Linked DNA regions of Mytilus edulis. The protein of the gene in region 1 interacts with the protein of each later gene in a pairwise test. Links are inferred from orthologs where the notes say so. Each region holds a gene or a part of one and is shown in the gene's direction. Other genes may lie near its edges.

Region 1 (8,126 bases):
TATTAAAAACCTTTATCTGTTAAGTGTCAATTCATTATGCCCAATGAGCTAATAATGTATAAGGATTAAACTCATTTCAATTTAAAATTTAGCAAATTTTAATTGAATGTAAAAGAATTGAATATTTTGATTTCGCTTTTTATATTTGTCAGTATGCAATGAATTTCATTTTACAAGCTGTACATTATAATATTCATTTTAATTGCTTTCTGGTTAAATAATTAAATAAATGCTTTTTGTAAATTTATATCTCTATACATGTATTAATATTTGGGTTGAATTTTACATTCATGGAGTCATTAAAATATGTGACTTTAATACCAATAGCCAAGACCACACTCAGAGATAGAAAAGATATCAAAAAACATATGTAACCTAAACACCAAAAGCTAAGACCACATGTGGAGATAGAAAAGAAAGAAAGAAACATATGTGGCAGTAACACCAAAAGCCAAGAACATGAACACATGAGGAGATAGAAGAGACTGAAAGAAACATATGTGGCATGTTGATGAACACCAAAAGCCAAGACCACACTTGGAGATAGAAAAGATCAACAAACATATGTAACCTAACACCAAAAGCCAAGAGCACCTGAGGACAGAAGAGACAGAAACAAACTTATGTGGCATGAACACTAAAAGCCAAGAACATATAAGGATATAAGAGAGACAGCAACAAATATATGTGGCATAAACACGAAAAGCCAAGAACACATGAGGATATAGAAGAGACAGCAACAACCATATGTGGCATGAACACTAAAAGCCAAGAACACATGAGGAGATAGAAGAGACAGCAACAAATATATGTGGCATGAACACTAAAAGCCAAGAACACATGAGAAGATAGAAGAGACAGCAACAAACATATTTGGCATGAACACTAAAAGCCAAGAACACATGAGGAGATAGAAGAGACAGCAACAAACATATTTGGCATGAACACTAAAAGCCAAGAACATGTAAGGATATAAGAGAGACAGCAACAAATATATGTGGCATAAACGCGAAAAGCCAAGAACACATGAGGATATAGAAGAGACAGCAACAACCATATGTGGCATGAACACTAAAAGCCAAGAACACATGAGAAGATAGAAGAGACAGCAACAAACATATTTGGCATGAACACTAAAAGCCAAGAACACATGAGAAGATAGAAGAGACAGCAACAAACATATTTGGCATGAACACTAAAAGCCAAGAACACATGAGGAGATAGAAGAGACAGCAACAAACATATTTGGCATGAACACTAAAAGCCAAGAACACATAAGAAGATAGAAGAGACAGCAACAAACATATTTGGCATGAACACTAAAAGACAAGAACACATGAGAAGATAGAAGAGACAGCAACAAACATATTTGGCATGAACACTAAAAGCCAAGAACACATGAGAAGATAGAAGAGACAGCAACAAACATATTTGGCATGAACACTAAAAGCCAAGAACACATGAGGAGATAGAAGAGACAGCAACAACCATATGTGGTATGCACACTAAAAGCTAAGAACACATGAGGATATAGAAGAGACAGCAACAACCATATGTGGTATGCACACTAAAAGCTAAGAACACATGAGGATAAAGAAGAGACAGCAACAAACATCTGTGGCATAAAATTAAAAGCCAAGAAACACATGAAATAGAAAAAACAGAAACAACCAGTGAAGAGATTTGTAAATATTGCACTAGTCAAGTTATAATGTGATGGCAGCTTTACCATTGAAGGTTTTTCCATTTTCACTAGCTCAATAATTAGGTTTAATAGGAAGAAGTGCAATAGTCAAGTCACATTTATAAAATTATTATTTTGCTAGACTGTTATGGCGAAAGTTTTGGCGATGTAAAATAAAAAAAAAAACCAACAGGATATTAATAGCTTAGATGATACAGAATTAATAAATAAATAACATAAAAATGTTTATAGCGTATTAACTACCTTGCCTCCCTGTCTGGGGACAGCTGTTTGGAATACAGCCTCCACAGCAAAGGTTCCACTTCCCTGTATTGGAACACATGTGAACTCATCTTTGGATACTTCTACAAGCAAAAAAACAAGCCAAGTAAAACTTGTGGCAAGTGAGTTGTCTTTTCCTTGGTATATTCCACAAAAAATATATACTGTTATTTTAAAACAATTATTTTCATTTCTTATACTGTAAAGAGCTTTATTTTTACAATTTTTTTTACATATTTCTAGGTCAAACCTCTTTTACAAAGGTCTTATTTTCATGTTTTTCTTGTCCTGATTCTGATCAGCTGATTTAATTTACATGAAGGGATATTTTTCACAAGTTTTATCTCAATGGTCAATCTGATCTTAATATAGATCCAGTGTCCACACTTCACTTATAGAAGGATTTAAGAACACTATGTTTTACTTTCTGCTCTGGTAAATATTACAACAGCCAATGAAATTACAGCCATCAAAATTTTGAAAGTGTGTAACATTATGACAAAACCTGAGAATCCAGAAAGGTCTTAAGGATGTACTTAGGTGAGGAATTTGTGTCAAATGTTCGGACTCCTTGGTGTTTTCCATACAATACAATGTAAAATATTTTGCCCCATAACACCAATTTATTTTTTCATATTAGACTTAATAGCTCATGAAAGGTCATTTACCAAAATTTTAGAAGATTCTTGATTTTCTTTTTTGTTTTGAGACCCAAATTATACCAATGCAAATATAAGGTAAAAGTCCGAGTCAGCATTTTCCCAACATATTTTAATACTCAAATATCTTGAAAAGGAGGTCCATGACCTATCAATATTATTAGCTTATCTTTATCCTTAATTGATGCTCTACCAGCTAATAATATCAATTTTCATTTCTTAATTTCTTAATTTTTAACTAACCTCACCTAAGACATGTAAGAACATCCTTAAAAAATGATAGTAGAACAGAGTGTTGTCAGTTCCTTGTAGAAAAAGTGTGGACACAGGGTTAATATTTCAATAAGATTGCTTAAAAGTTGAATCAATTAAAACAGAGATAAAATAAATATTAATTGTGTTTGGATATACACCTGAGGGGACCTATGATTACCCATATTTTAAAATACCTGCTATTTCTACTAGTTTTGATCTGAGAGTTTTAATTGCTTCTATAAAGGCTACATCTCTTGAACCATATTCTGTAAATGCTGCTTGTCTGACTGTAGGAGAGGTCGATAATGGTCCTGGAGTAAATAACTTTTTTTCTGAAAAAAATACACATGTATCATATTTTTGTGCATTTTCCCTATACAGAAGGTTTTTGTTCAGCAAATCATTTGGTAGTTATGTTATGACTATAGGCATACATTTGAATCACATTAAAAGGTATTTTTGATCATCATTAATAAGTGTTGGCCTTTATGATGCACAAAATCATGTCAGAATTTTAAGAAAATAAGTAATTTGAATCAATGTTATTAGAAAAACGGTATTGTTGTCTTTAAATTGTGTTGACATATTCTTATTTAAACATGTAAGGTTGATTATGTCTAGCATAAGAACAGTGGTGGATCCAGAACTTTTTGTAAGGGGGCCCGCTCCAGTCACGCTTCAGTGATTCCCTATATAATCAACCAAATATTTCCAACAAAAGGGAGGGGGCTGGATCCGCCTATGTAAGAAGATACCATTGCTTTTGATTTTCTTGTTTGTGTATATATATTTTGTACTCTGTATTTGGATGTTCTGATACCGTAATTGATGTTATATAATAAAGGTGTCATTATAGTTCATACAGAAGCTCCCTTTTTACATTACAAAAAAGGGGGAAATACTGACCATAGCAACAAATATCAAGAAACTGTCAAAGACTAAATGAATAAATTGCTGTTACACATTTTCCTCACATATTATATTACTTAAAATTGAGAATGGAAATGGGGAATGTGCCAAAGAGACAACAACCCGACCATAGGGCAGACAACAGCAGAAGGTCAGCAACAGGTCTTCAATGCAACAAGAAATTCTCGCACCCGGAGGCGTCCTTCAGCTGGCCCCTAAACAAATATATACTGGTTCAGTGATAATGAACACCATACTAAACTCCAAATTGTACACAAGAAACTAAAAGTTAAAATAATACAAGACTAACAAAGGCCAGAGGCTCCTGACTTGGGACAGGTGCAAAAATGCAGCTGGGTTAAACATGTTTGTGAGATCTCAACCCTCCCCCTATACCTCTGGCCAATGCAGAAAAGTAAACGCATAACAATACGCTTGAATACTTACATCACTTAGATAATTTAACGAAATATAAATGATAAGGAAATGCGATAAATAGTTCAGGTGTACACATACCTGGTGCATCTTTTGTGTAACACTTCTGATGATTTACATGAGACATCTTAAAAACAGAGAGGAAATTTGGTACCTGGTAACTTTTATGTTGAAACTTAGTAAAAGCAACATAACTTCTCAATGTATTGCAAGTGATTTTGTTCATCCTAATAGATCAGTTTCAGGGTGCTAATGTTAATGACACCAAGATTACAACCAGTGTCAGTGACACATTGCATATATTGAATTTTATCTAGTCATATCTTGTTATGCAAGGGGTGATTACTCCACTCAAACTTTTCTATTGAAGCACTTACCTACACAAATATTTGTCATGTCCTTCCCGAATTTGGGATTTAGTTTTTATTGCTTCTCGGTTCTTTTCATCGAAATTTAAAGAAAACTACCGAGGGACCACGTTAGATTGAAACTTCCTGTCGGTAAATGACAAAGCAACAACATGAGCTCTATTGGAACTGGTGTAAGTTAAAAACCGCACCATTTAGTGAATTGTCCACTTCGGTGTACATCTTCAAAATACAATTTATGATAATTTTTCAAGGTCTGCGTGTCATTTATCTACTTTGGTTTTAGGAATAAATGGAATTTTCACCCAATATTATTTGCGTACTCCATCCATGACTTTTGTACAAATGTACATGTATCTATTAGTTTTGAAAATTAAATTGTCAGTTTAAAACACATTTCTGGATGATCAGTTTGCAAAAAATGAGAGTTCAAATTTCAAACACAAAATGTGTCTACAGAAAACCATGACAACGAGAATGTTCCATTCTTATACACCTTATCGCTATTTGTCCGCCATTGCTGGAAATCACACAGATTCCCGTAAAATTTTGACGTCATAAAACAAAATATCTGACGCCACAATGGAAAAGTGATTGTTGTTGACGTCAAAAGTTCAAGCGGCTGGGTCAGCCGGGATTAGCGATAAGGTGTATTGTACTAGCCTATAAGGGGTCCATTAATAAAACATCATTTCCTTATGTTCTTGTTCATTAAAGTCATAAGAAACCTCAAATTAAAAAAAAAATATGCATATATTTTTTATAACTAAATGGATAGTTTTCATTATACAACTTATGTACATATACATTTTTCTGAGGAAAATTCTTTAATTTGTCCACATTTAGAAGTTTACTTATTTTTAATTGCTTGCTTCCAGGAAGCAATTCGCCGACATATTTTCCGTATGCATAGTGACCCGAGCGTAACCCTCCTCGTAAAAATCTGGTAATCGCAATACGCATGGATCTGTATTGAAATAAACAAATATCTGAGTTTACATGTTAAACACGTGCTCAATACCCATGCTTTTTGTGATTTGTTTACTTTAAGATGACAATCGTTAAAACTCGGCTTCAAAACACGGCATTTAATGAGCAGCCATATTTTTTAAATCATAACAAACAGAGAGAAAAAATATTGACGATTATAGGATATATTTGCGAAAATAATGAAAAATCGTGCACAGAGGACTAAGTTTATGATATATACATGCATTGGTTCAAGAATTGGATAAACATTATTTTTCACCACTCACTCGTTTCATATGACTTTAATATATGATAAACCGGTCATCCATATATGTTTACGACGCATGGGCAGACTTACCGGACAGTCACAACCACACTTCAGTGAAAAACACAGGTGACCCATTAGTCTGATTGATTTTCAAATCATTTCAGATATATCTATGCGCAGTATACGGAAATTAGATAAAATATGTAACATTGAGTTTTCAGTGAATACATATAAATCAAATTTGATGCAATTTTCATTTATTAAAGAAGAAATGCACACGATTAAAGCCTTAGGTGGGCAGAGTTCCCAGACAGTGCACCGTAATTGGCTCTATATTAAATAAGATAATAGGCTTTTATTTTATTGTGTTAAAATAGTGACATTACAAAAACTTTTAACACATTTCCTTTAGTGCTTTGTGTCAAATTGTGAATTATTTTAAACTAGGACATACTGATAATGTTAGTATAATATAGTCCATGTTTTGCTGAAATGAATAAGAATATTGTATTGATGATCAAAAGTCAAGTTCATTCATCTATGACTTGTAAAAGAAATAAAGAAGATACCATAAGGCTATCAAACTGGTGACAATGACATTGCCACACACAAAAATGAATAACACAAAAACTGGAACATCAATAACAGCAATAATGATTTTCAAACATATAATAATAATTCTGAAATAGCTTTAAAAAGGAGTAAGTTCGGTAAGGGCCATATTTGGCCGTGATTTTAAAATTCAATGTTAAAAGACAAAAAATGTTTTAAGTTGACTTAAAGACGTGATAAAGTTAAATAAAACTACTTTTAACAAAGTTTAATTCTAACACTTCAATTTTTATACCCCAAAATGGTCAAGATAAGAGATTTTTGTGAAATTTGACAAAATCAGCTGAATTTTAACCAAATTTAGAACCAGGAAACATAGAGTGGAGGCGTTGACAAAATACATATTAAAAAAAGACATGTGAAATGTTGTCACAAACATTATTTTAAAGATCTTTGTTGTTGACGTAAATGCTCTATGTTTCCTGTCCAATAATCTATGGAAATTTACCAATTTTCATTGATTTTTTCGTGGAAAATCAACATGAATACAACTTGACGTCATAATAAAACACAGGAACGTAATTTTTCAACAAAATGGCTTATTTCCTATCTAGTCACTGTATTAGCTATAATTAATTGTGATATTCAGATATTGGTCAATAAATCCGAATTTGAAATTTACACTAAAAAATGGGGCCATTTTAGGACCTTATCTTTGTAAATAGCAATCAATTTAACTCAAAACAATGGGTTTCACAAATTAGCAACAAGAAGAATAATTAAAGCAACAAAAAAGCTAATTAAGCGACAAGAAAATAAATTTAGCACCAAGATATCTAAATCGTAATTTTTATTTGAAATAAATAGATATAGAAACATGCACTGAAATTTGCTTGGTCTTGCTTTAAATATGTATTCAAGAATTATCATGATTTTGAGCAAAGAAAATAAACCTATCAGTGATTTTAGGCACCAACCAAATCTTGCAGTTATATATGCTAATGAATGCATATGAATTTTAAAAAGTAAAAACAAAAATATTAACAACAGTCAACTATTTACTAGATGCCTAAGTTTTAATTAAATATATATATAAATATATTTCAGTATGACTTGTCAGCTTCTCAGTTTTCACCTGATGGAAGAGTGTTTCAAGTGGAATATGCATTAAAGGCTGTTGAAAACAGTGGGTAAGTGTATTTATGTTATACCAAACATAATCAAGGTTTGAAAAGATTATTGGTTCATTGGCAAATTTCATGAGAGAATTTGATTGAACAGCACCATTCATAAATGGCTTATTGATTTGCAAAGTGCAAGTGCAAACTCTCCGTTTCAAATTGTGAAAAACTGGAAATCAGAACCAGAATCCGACAAAGCATCATTTATACACATGAACTAAAAGCTAATTTCTTCAAGATTAATTGCAATTGTGTGAAATAATGGGCAAATCAACTTTTGTTTTTGTTGTTGATGATGTTTTAGAGATTTTAAGTATTGTACACTACAAATATTCACTTAGGAAATTTCAACCCACATGTGTTTTCCCCTTCATTTCAGCACTGCTATAGGAATACAGGGAAAAGATGGTGTAGTATTTGGTGTAGAGAAGTTAGTAACATCTAAACTATATGAAGCTGGAGCTAACAAAAGGATCTTCAATATAGACAGACATATAGGAATGGTAAATTTTTCTTGAGGTCCAAAGCAGGGCTTCCAAAAAATATTTGAGCCAGCCGGACATT
Region 2 (8,438 bases), on another chromosome or scaffold:
TAATTAACTTTTTGGCCTTTATCATCTACATACAGTTTTCCTTTCTGTATATGACACACCTTCTAGTGGACGTGAAATTATGCCAAGTTTCATCACCTCGAGGTTGAGAATTTAGAGAGCAGAACAGTTTTTCTCACAGGAAGGATTGTGCCTGATATTCATATGATGAAGACATAATCTTTCAATCAGTTTAATTGAAGTCTGGAGCTGGCATGTCAGTTAACTGCTAGTAGTCTGATGTTATTTATGTATTATTATCATTTTGTTTATTTTCTTTGGTTACATCTTCTGACATCAGACTCAGACTTCTCTTGAACTGAATTTTAATGTGCGTATTGTTATGCGTTAACTTTTCATTGGCTAGAGGTATAGGGGGAGGGTTGAGATCTCGTAAACATGTTTAACCCCGCCACAATTTTGCGCCTGTCCCAAGTCAGGAGCCTCTGGCCTTTGTTAGTCTTTTATTATTTTTAATTTTAGTTTTTGTGTACAATTTGGAGTTTAGTATGGCATTCATTATCACTGAACTAGTATATATATTTGATTAGGGGCCAGCTGAAGGACGCCTCCGAGTGCGGGAATTTCCCGCTGCATTGAAGACCTGTTGGTGACCTTCTGCTGTTGTCTGCTCTATGGTTGAGTTGTTGTCTCTTTGACACATTCCCCATTTCCATTCTCAATTCTATTTACATATTCACAGGGTAAATACTGTTCCTATGTATTTATTTCATGTATCATGGAATATTACCTGGTATTACCTTGTAGTAATAGTCAATTATCCCGTTTTATAACTGAACACCAAACAGTTTTCTGTTGGTAAGTTAAACTCAGTTTTTACCATGAAATGCAGAGTAGCATTTTCTTTTTCTTGGTAATTTCTTTTAAAATGTTCTATCTGTAATGGTTTTTATATTTCAAAGTTCACCTTACTATGACTTTGGGAGGTGTATTTTTTTGTTTAATTTATTACATATATCTGTAACTTTTTAAATACCTGTATTCCAAATTGTCCGTAGATAAGTTTGTTATTGACCATCTCTGGCCCTCTCATATGGTCCAACATTTTAGACATGGTAGGAGGTTTAGCAGAAGGAATTGGGTTCTGTGGTACTTTGTCAAACTGTGACAGTTTACTCCTTAGTCTATTTACAGGTAGTTCTAAATCTGTAATATAACAAGATTCATATCATAATGTGTAATATTAATTTTCACACAGACTACATTAAAGTCTAACAAAAGGCTGTTAGAGCAACAGCAAACCAGATTTTTTTTATTGATTATTTGTGTTCTGGTATTTTTCAAGGACCACAACTCCTGATCATAAAAAGTAAAAGTGACAATCGTCAATACTGAACTTGACCTTCATTTTGTCATCAGTAAAAATGTATTAAAATTTAAAAAGCTTTGGTTGAATGGTTTATGAGTAAATGCATGGACACTGTTTGGCAGCCTGCCATATGGATACCCCTGTGCCCTCTCGCAGAACATCCACAAGTCAATAACTGATTTTTCCTTCTAAAATCAGGATAAAATGTATTGTTACCAGCAAGTTATAATTAAGTGAGCGTGCTTAATCATCTAGATAAAATTCTTATTTCTGAATTTAAATGCAGTTATATAACTTTTTAGATTTGCAGACAGTGATTGAAATTGTTCATTAAGGTGGCTCTTAAATGTAACTGAAGGTAGATACAACATATTAGGATAACAGGCAGTGATTGAACAGGGTGAAATCTGACAATGCTTTAGATGGTAGAATAAATCTTAATCATGAATAAAATGATGTTTGGGGTACATGTCAAAAAGACATCAACCTTATATAAAAAAAATAATAAATAGACATCTAAAAAGGAATCAAACAGTCTTTAAAAGTAGATCATATCTATAAAGCAATATGTCAAGATACAAATCATCTTAGTCACTCTATACAAGTTGTGAATAACTGTCAGAAACAAAACTCAACTCAAATTCATGAGTTAACATTTTTTTTTTAAAAGTCACAAATGTCATAAAAAAGTCTTAATTTGTGACAGCAACAGGAAACATTAATGTGGTAGAATTATACTTATTGTTTTAGATCTTGATCCTTTCAAACTAAGCAATACATGTGTAGTACCATCAATATTATAAATAGTAACTTCTTCTCTGATTACATTCTTCTGTATCATAACTTATACTGTGTGTATATATTTGATTCAATACTTTTTCTTAATGCTTTTTATAAAACATACTAATTCTTTGTTTGCAGTGAATTTAAAATGTTTCCTTGACATTGTAACTGTACCATGTTTACTCTTATCATGTTTATGATTTTTTAAGATACATGTACTAATAAATTATAAAACAAGAATGTGTCCAAAGTACACAGACGCCCCACTTGCACTATCCTTTTTCATGTTCCATAGACCGTGAAATTGGGTAAATATCTAATTTGGCATTAAAATAAGAAATATTATGCTATAGGTAACATGTGTACTAAGTTTCAAGTTGATTGAACTTCAATTTCATCAAAAACTACATTGACCAAAAACTTTAACCTGAAACTCCCACTTTAATTTTCTATGTTCAGTGGACCATGAAATTGGGGTCAAAAGTCTAATTTGGCATTAAAATTAGAAAGATCTTATCATAAGCAACAAGTGTACTAAGTTTCAAGTTGATTGGACTTCAGCTTCATCAAAAACTACCTTCACCAAAAACTTAAACCTGGAGCAGGACAAACAAACGAACGGAGCCACAGACCAGAAAACATAATGCCCCTCTACTATCGTAGGTGGGGCATAAAAACATTTTTAAATGAGCCAAACACTGAAATCTCAAATACAGCAGAAGGTTTAATTATCAATCAAAATTACCTTCTTCCTTTTCTGGCATTTTCAGCTTCATGTATGTGGCAACCTGAGTCACTTCTGACCCTGAAAAATAATCAAATTATCTAATTAGCTACATGTCAGAATATAACACAAAATCCCCTTTTTTATTACTTCAAATCATCTTTTTATTGTACAGGAAAGTCGAAGTGAGTTTTCCAACTAACAATGACTAAAGATACTTTAAAAGTATCATCAAACATGTCAAATATCAGACCAATATCTTCGAATTCAAGCAAAGAAAAAATTGTGGAAAAACTTATTTGCCTGAATAACAGATGGACAGACAGACAGGTAGACAGATAGAGCACAAACATGTAGTTTAAAGGTAATTTATATAATCAGAAACCGATCTAAAATAGAGAATTGAAATGGGAAATATGTCAATGAGACAACTACAACTGAACCACCAATGGGTCTTCAACGCACAAGAAAATCCTACACCCAGAGGCAGGCTTCAGCTGGCCCCTTAATAACAATGTGTACTACATGTAGTTCAGTGAAAATGTACATCAATACTTAACTCCAAAACATCATGCTACCCAAATTGTACCGATCAGAGTTTTGTGGTAAAAAGTATTCTGCATAAGTTGCATAACATTTGGTTGAGTCAAACTTAAGTTTAAGAACTGAAAAAATATCAAGGATGGAAAAAAATATTCATCATATTTTCATTTTATTTATAAAGGGCATAACTCTAGAATGGTTATATTAAAGTGACACTACTTAAATTCACACTTGATCTGTATTGTAATAAGCATTGTGTGTAAGTTTCATAACATTTATTTAGGCAAACTAATATTAGAGAACGGCAACTAAAAAATCAGCAATATTTCCACTTATAAACATGATAAAGGACCACTAGCTACGAGATACATTAAAAATCTAACACATTATTTCTTTTGCTCAATCATTAATGAAATGCAAATAGAGAAATAATAATTCACTTTTAGCAGCCAATATGGTTCAATTTTGTGAAAATAAGCTAAAAAACATTGATTATGATTCAATCACTTGCAAGTGAATAATTCTACCTCATTCATGTCATTGAATCTGTATTCATGTGAACTTCAATTTAACCCCTTAGCTTGAGATGGATAACATGTGAATTATATGTGTAAAGTTATTTAAAGGAAATTAATGTCAACATTGAAAGTGAAACAAAGGTAAATCATTTGATTGACTTATTTGATCCAAACACAATCATTCTTATACAGGTAAAAAAAAGGATAAACATGAATTTTTAATCTATAACATGAAGTAAATAGACCTAGAAAAATCCAACAGCACGAGTTAGCTCCATCTATCTATATTTATATTTATGTTTACATCGCATGTATGGTCATCAGATGACTTTAGAGGTCAACTCTATAGTTAATTGGATGGTGTATGGACTAAACTACACACAAAACGAAGCTATGTTTTTTCATGCCAGTGTCCTGTTTATTGTTTATTTTAGACTTTTAATGCATGTAGTTTTGATAAATGTTTTTATACATTGTTATAAATCAAATATGAGAATTGTGTTCATTTCGGTGAAAATGAATTTGACAGTTTGTGCCCCTTTAAGTGCACATGATGTCACCAAAATCCAAACTTGATCTGTGTTATGTGGTAATAAGCATTATGTATAAGTTTCATCACATTTAGTTGAGGCAAACGTTAGTTAGAGAACCGGAAACCAACAATTTTTTTTCAGCTTATCGAGAATGAAAGTAGAATGAAAAAGATATCAGCTGATCATTCTTTATACTAAAAATAAAATATATTGTAAAGGTTACTATACAAATCTTGAATACAGAATGCACCCTAAAATAAAGTGGAAGGAAAAGCTGAACATATGTTAGGTTCCGAATTGTCTAACCGTTGGCAAAAATTATGCCGAAATGACTTTTATACATAGGTGCCGATTTGATCCCTAATCATATCTTTCTAAGAGATTTTTGCTACCGTGAGAACAACTGAAATAATCACATATATCGAAAATGATAAAAAATTGCTACTTATTCAATAATTTCAATTACATTTTGTTAGCAAAAGTAAATGTTTTCTGCAAAGATTTTTTACAAGACAGTTCATTTTTTGTTCTTCGATGTAGGCTATTCTCTTTATTTTCCCTTTACGCAAATTCGTAAATGTAAGCGTTTTGCAGACCATGCATTTCGTATGTTTCTCTCGGACTTTATCCATCGCCGTACGAAAAAACCGCCACCAAAATGAAATGGAGAATGAAAAGATAAAAAAGCTTCATGTCCATAAAAGAAATCCACAAGATGCATGTAAATGACATTTCGTGATTTTTGTTTAAATTCATTTCAAAATCTTTTTACAAACCATGCATTCGTTACAACTGTACTGTGTACATGAGTAATTTAATTTGCAATGTAGCACTGTCTCTTCTGAAGTTCTGTCAAATTATGACAAATATTTTGAAATTATTCATGACATCTTGGAAGGCTGTTATTTTCTGCAAAAAAAAAGAGGGTGGCAAAGGGTTATTTTTGTGCAACGTTTTCGGTCTTTTTCTTTCTTTTTTCGAGTTTGGTTAGAAGTGCGTGATGTATGAGAGCAAGACTTAATAGTTAAGATAGTAATTTAGTCATGGCTAATCTATCTACATCTACATAATACTAATAAATATACAAGTTGTATTGCTGTAGTGACGTAACATAATACATACCTGTCAACCTCTGAAAATGAAAAGTCAGGTCATGACCTGCATTGAGAAAAAAAATCTCAGGTCATAACGCGTACGACATTTTGCGGGCTCAATTGAAGAAGAAAAATATGTTTACATATAATTTATATAGTCAATATGTATATGAAACAGTTAGAACATGTATACAAGTTTATTTCAGACTATTGTTATATTCCATAGTAGCAGACTTGGCATTCTTTAAAAGAACTGCACTTGGTTTCAGTTCATAGCAATGCAAATGTGTATTCATTTTACAAGAAAGAAGAGCACACAGTGTATCCTTATTAAGATCAGCCCTAAACTCTGTAGCTATTTTCTTTACTAAAGAAAATGCCCTCTCACTGTCTGCAATGCTGTTTGGCAAAACCAGTAATGTTTTAGCAAGTTTTGACAAAACAAAAAATTTTGGCTTGTTAATAAAAATGTCATGCAACTTGGACATTTCTCCCCAAAATGTACCAATGTCAGTTTCAGGGGAAGTGCAAAGTGGAAGTTCATCTAATGGGGTCAACTGATAGTCACTGAACTCATCTTGTAGCTGTGTTGTCTCTTCATATCGTTACGTAGCTCAGGTAAACAGTCCTACATTTTGACTTTTGGTTACATTGAAAAAGACCGATAAAACCGAAGGTCGTATTACTTCTAAATACCGGAAACAATTCCGGTCAGAAATCTGGGTGAAACGGGTAATGTTAGAAATTCCCGGGACCCGCCGGGTAAAGAAAAACTCCCGGGTGAGAGGTGAAAATAACGGGTGTCACCCGCAAAAAACGGGTGAGTTGACAGGTATGATAATACTGAATATCCTAAAGGTTTTTATGGTGTTTTCCCAGAATAATCTAAGATATCCTACTGTAGTGTATAATCGGTCGTCTTGTTGGTTCATTCAGACTTTGTTATTGTACTTATTACACGGGAAAACTCCGCATTGACTCCACTACGCTAATACCAACTCTCAAAATTAGTGCAGAATACATTTGTTCTACTCTTCTAAATAAAAGAACATTTCTAAAGATATGTCGTCCTGAATATGCATGAAATATTTGCCACTGGACGTCAAGCAACCAACAATCAATCAATCTAGAGATATGTTTTCATAGTTATTCAAAAGTATTTTATAAAAATTGCCAACTTGCCAATTTTCTAATGGCTGTTTAAAACCTGACTTCCAAATTCCTAAAACATTTCAGAACTTCACAAATTCCACTTCTGACCTCTATAGCTTTGTGTACATTCCATTAAGCGTCATCAATGAAGGGGATAGGACCTTTATCAGTATTCCGGGAACAGGTGTTTTTAAGCTCGGAATTTCAGGATTGACCCTTATGGGATCCGGGAATTCTTTTTTTCCAATTTCGGGATGCAGGTATTTAGATCTTTTTAAATTCAGGAATATCGTGTTTTAAAGCCCAGGTTTTCAAGATCAGGACCCCTCCTACACCCCCCCCCCTCACTCAATCTTAGTGGCAGACAAAACAGGTCATGCAAATCATATTTCTAAGAATTTCAAAATGACAAGCACCTTACGTTTGAGGGATTTTCCCACTACAAAAAAACATCCACAATAAAAATAAAACTTTGGGAAAAAACAATGTTCATAGATATAGGAAGATGTGGTATGAGTGCCAATGAGACAACTTCCAAGTAACAATTTTATAAAAGTAAACCATGACAAGTCTCAATTTACAGGCTCTTGAACTGAATTTTAATGTGTGTATTGTTATGCGTTTACTTTTCTACATTGGCAAGATGTATAGGGGGTGGGTTGCGATCTCATAAACATGTTTAACCACGCACATTTTTGCACCTGTCCAAAGTCGGGAGCCTCTGGCCTTTGTTAGTCTTGTATTATTTTTAATTTTAGTTTCTTGTGTACAATTATAGAGTTTAGTATGGTGTTCATTATCACTGAAATAGTATATATATTTGTTTAGGGGCCAGCTGAAGGACGCCTCCGTGTGCAGGAATTTCTCGCTGCATTGAAGACCTGTTAGTGATCTTCAGCTGTCGTCTGTTCTATGATCTTTTATGGTTGGGTTGTTGTCTCTTTGACACGTTTCCCATTTCCATTCCCAATTTTATTTATAAACTTTTTTGTTTGCTATTTTAGTTTTAGGAAATGATATTTTGATCAATCCTAAAGACTTTCCTGACGTTGTTCTCCGAGATATTCTAGAGATTCATCATTCTGATAGTGATAATAGGTAAGTGTCATCAAGTAAGGGAGATAACCTAACAATTCTTTGTAATAACTAATATATATATATAGTTATCATGAACTCAGTCGTGGTATCAGTGATGATAATTGTTACGGTAATTGTATTGCTGTTTTATTATTTCGTTCCACTGTGTAAACCCCTGTATGTATATGTTCATTTGTAATTGGCATTTGATGATAGTCTAATGTCTGGACTAAGTGGACTTTTTTTCAATGTTTTTTACTTCCTTACTCACTTTACATGTTTTAATTCATGTACATGTATAGGCATTTAGCTTAATACATGTAAAATGATTTTTGAAATAAGAAGTTATTGAATTTTGACAAATGAGGTTTATAGGTTATGAAAGTAATTCTGGAAAAAAGAGTTGATTTATCATGTTTATGAAATCATTAATTAATTTTAACTGAAAATATTTATAAGTATGATGAAAGAAACAAGAGGAAGATGTTGAGTAAACATAAAAGAGAAACAACCCAACAACATCAGAAGGGGTCTGTTAGATATTAGATTTTGTTTGCCTATATTTATTATTCAAGAATTAAAACATTGTAATTTAATGTATGCTCTTATTCTAATTTTAGTCGATTACTGCTACAGGTGACAACAGTGACTGGTGAATTTCAACAGAAAGGTACACCATTTTATTAA

The links.
Region 2: the proteins of proteasome subunit alpha type-3-like (region 1) and GATOR complex protein Iml1-like interact in a two-hybrid assay, tested with the Caenorhabditis elegans proteins (2 studies listed by BioGRID). The link is inferred for Mytilus edulis from reciprocal best matches to the Caenorhabditis elegans genes pas-7 and depd-5.

Annotation. Positions count from the first base shown.
Region 1 is NC_092346.1:25,014,539-25,022,664, reverse strand, and holds the start of proteasome subunit alpha type-3-like, read left to right. Parts: upstream 1-4,639; 5' UTR 4,640-4,744; coding exon 4,745-4,765; intron 4,766-7,488; coding exon 7,489-7,571; intron 7,572-7,941; coding exon 7,942-8,065; intron 8,066-8,126. Other genes in the region: 2-aminoethylphosphonate--pyruvate transaminase-like, read right to left, coding at 1,949-2,049, 3,075-3,212, 4,306-4,450.
Region 2 is NC_092349.1:82,685,123-82,693,560, reverse strand, and holds the start of GATOR complex protein Iml1-like, read left to right. Parts: upstream 1-5,053; 5' UTR 5,054-5,091; coding exon 5,092-5,149; intron 5,150-7,678; coding exon 7,679-7,772; intron 7,773-8,371; coding exon 8,372-8,421; intron 8,422-8,438. Other genes in the region: large ribosomal subunit protein uL16m-like, read right to left, coding at 995-1,164, 2,856-2,915, 4,895-4,949.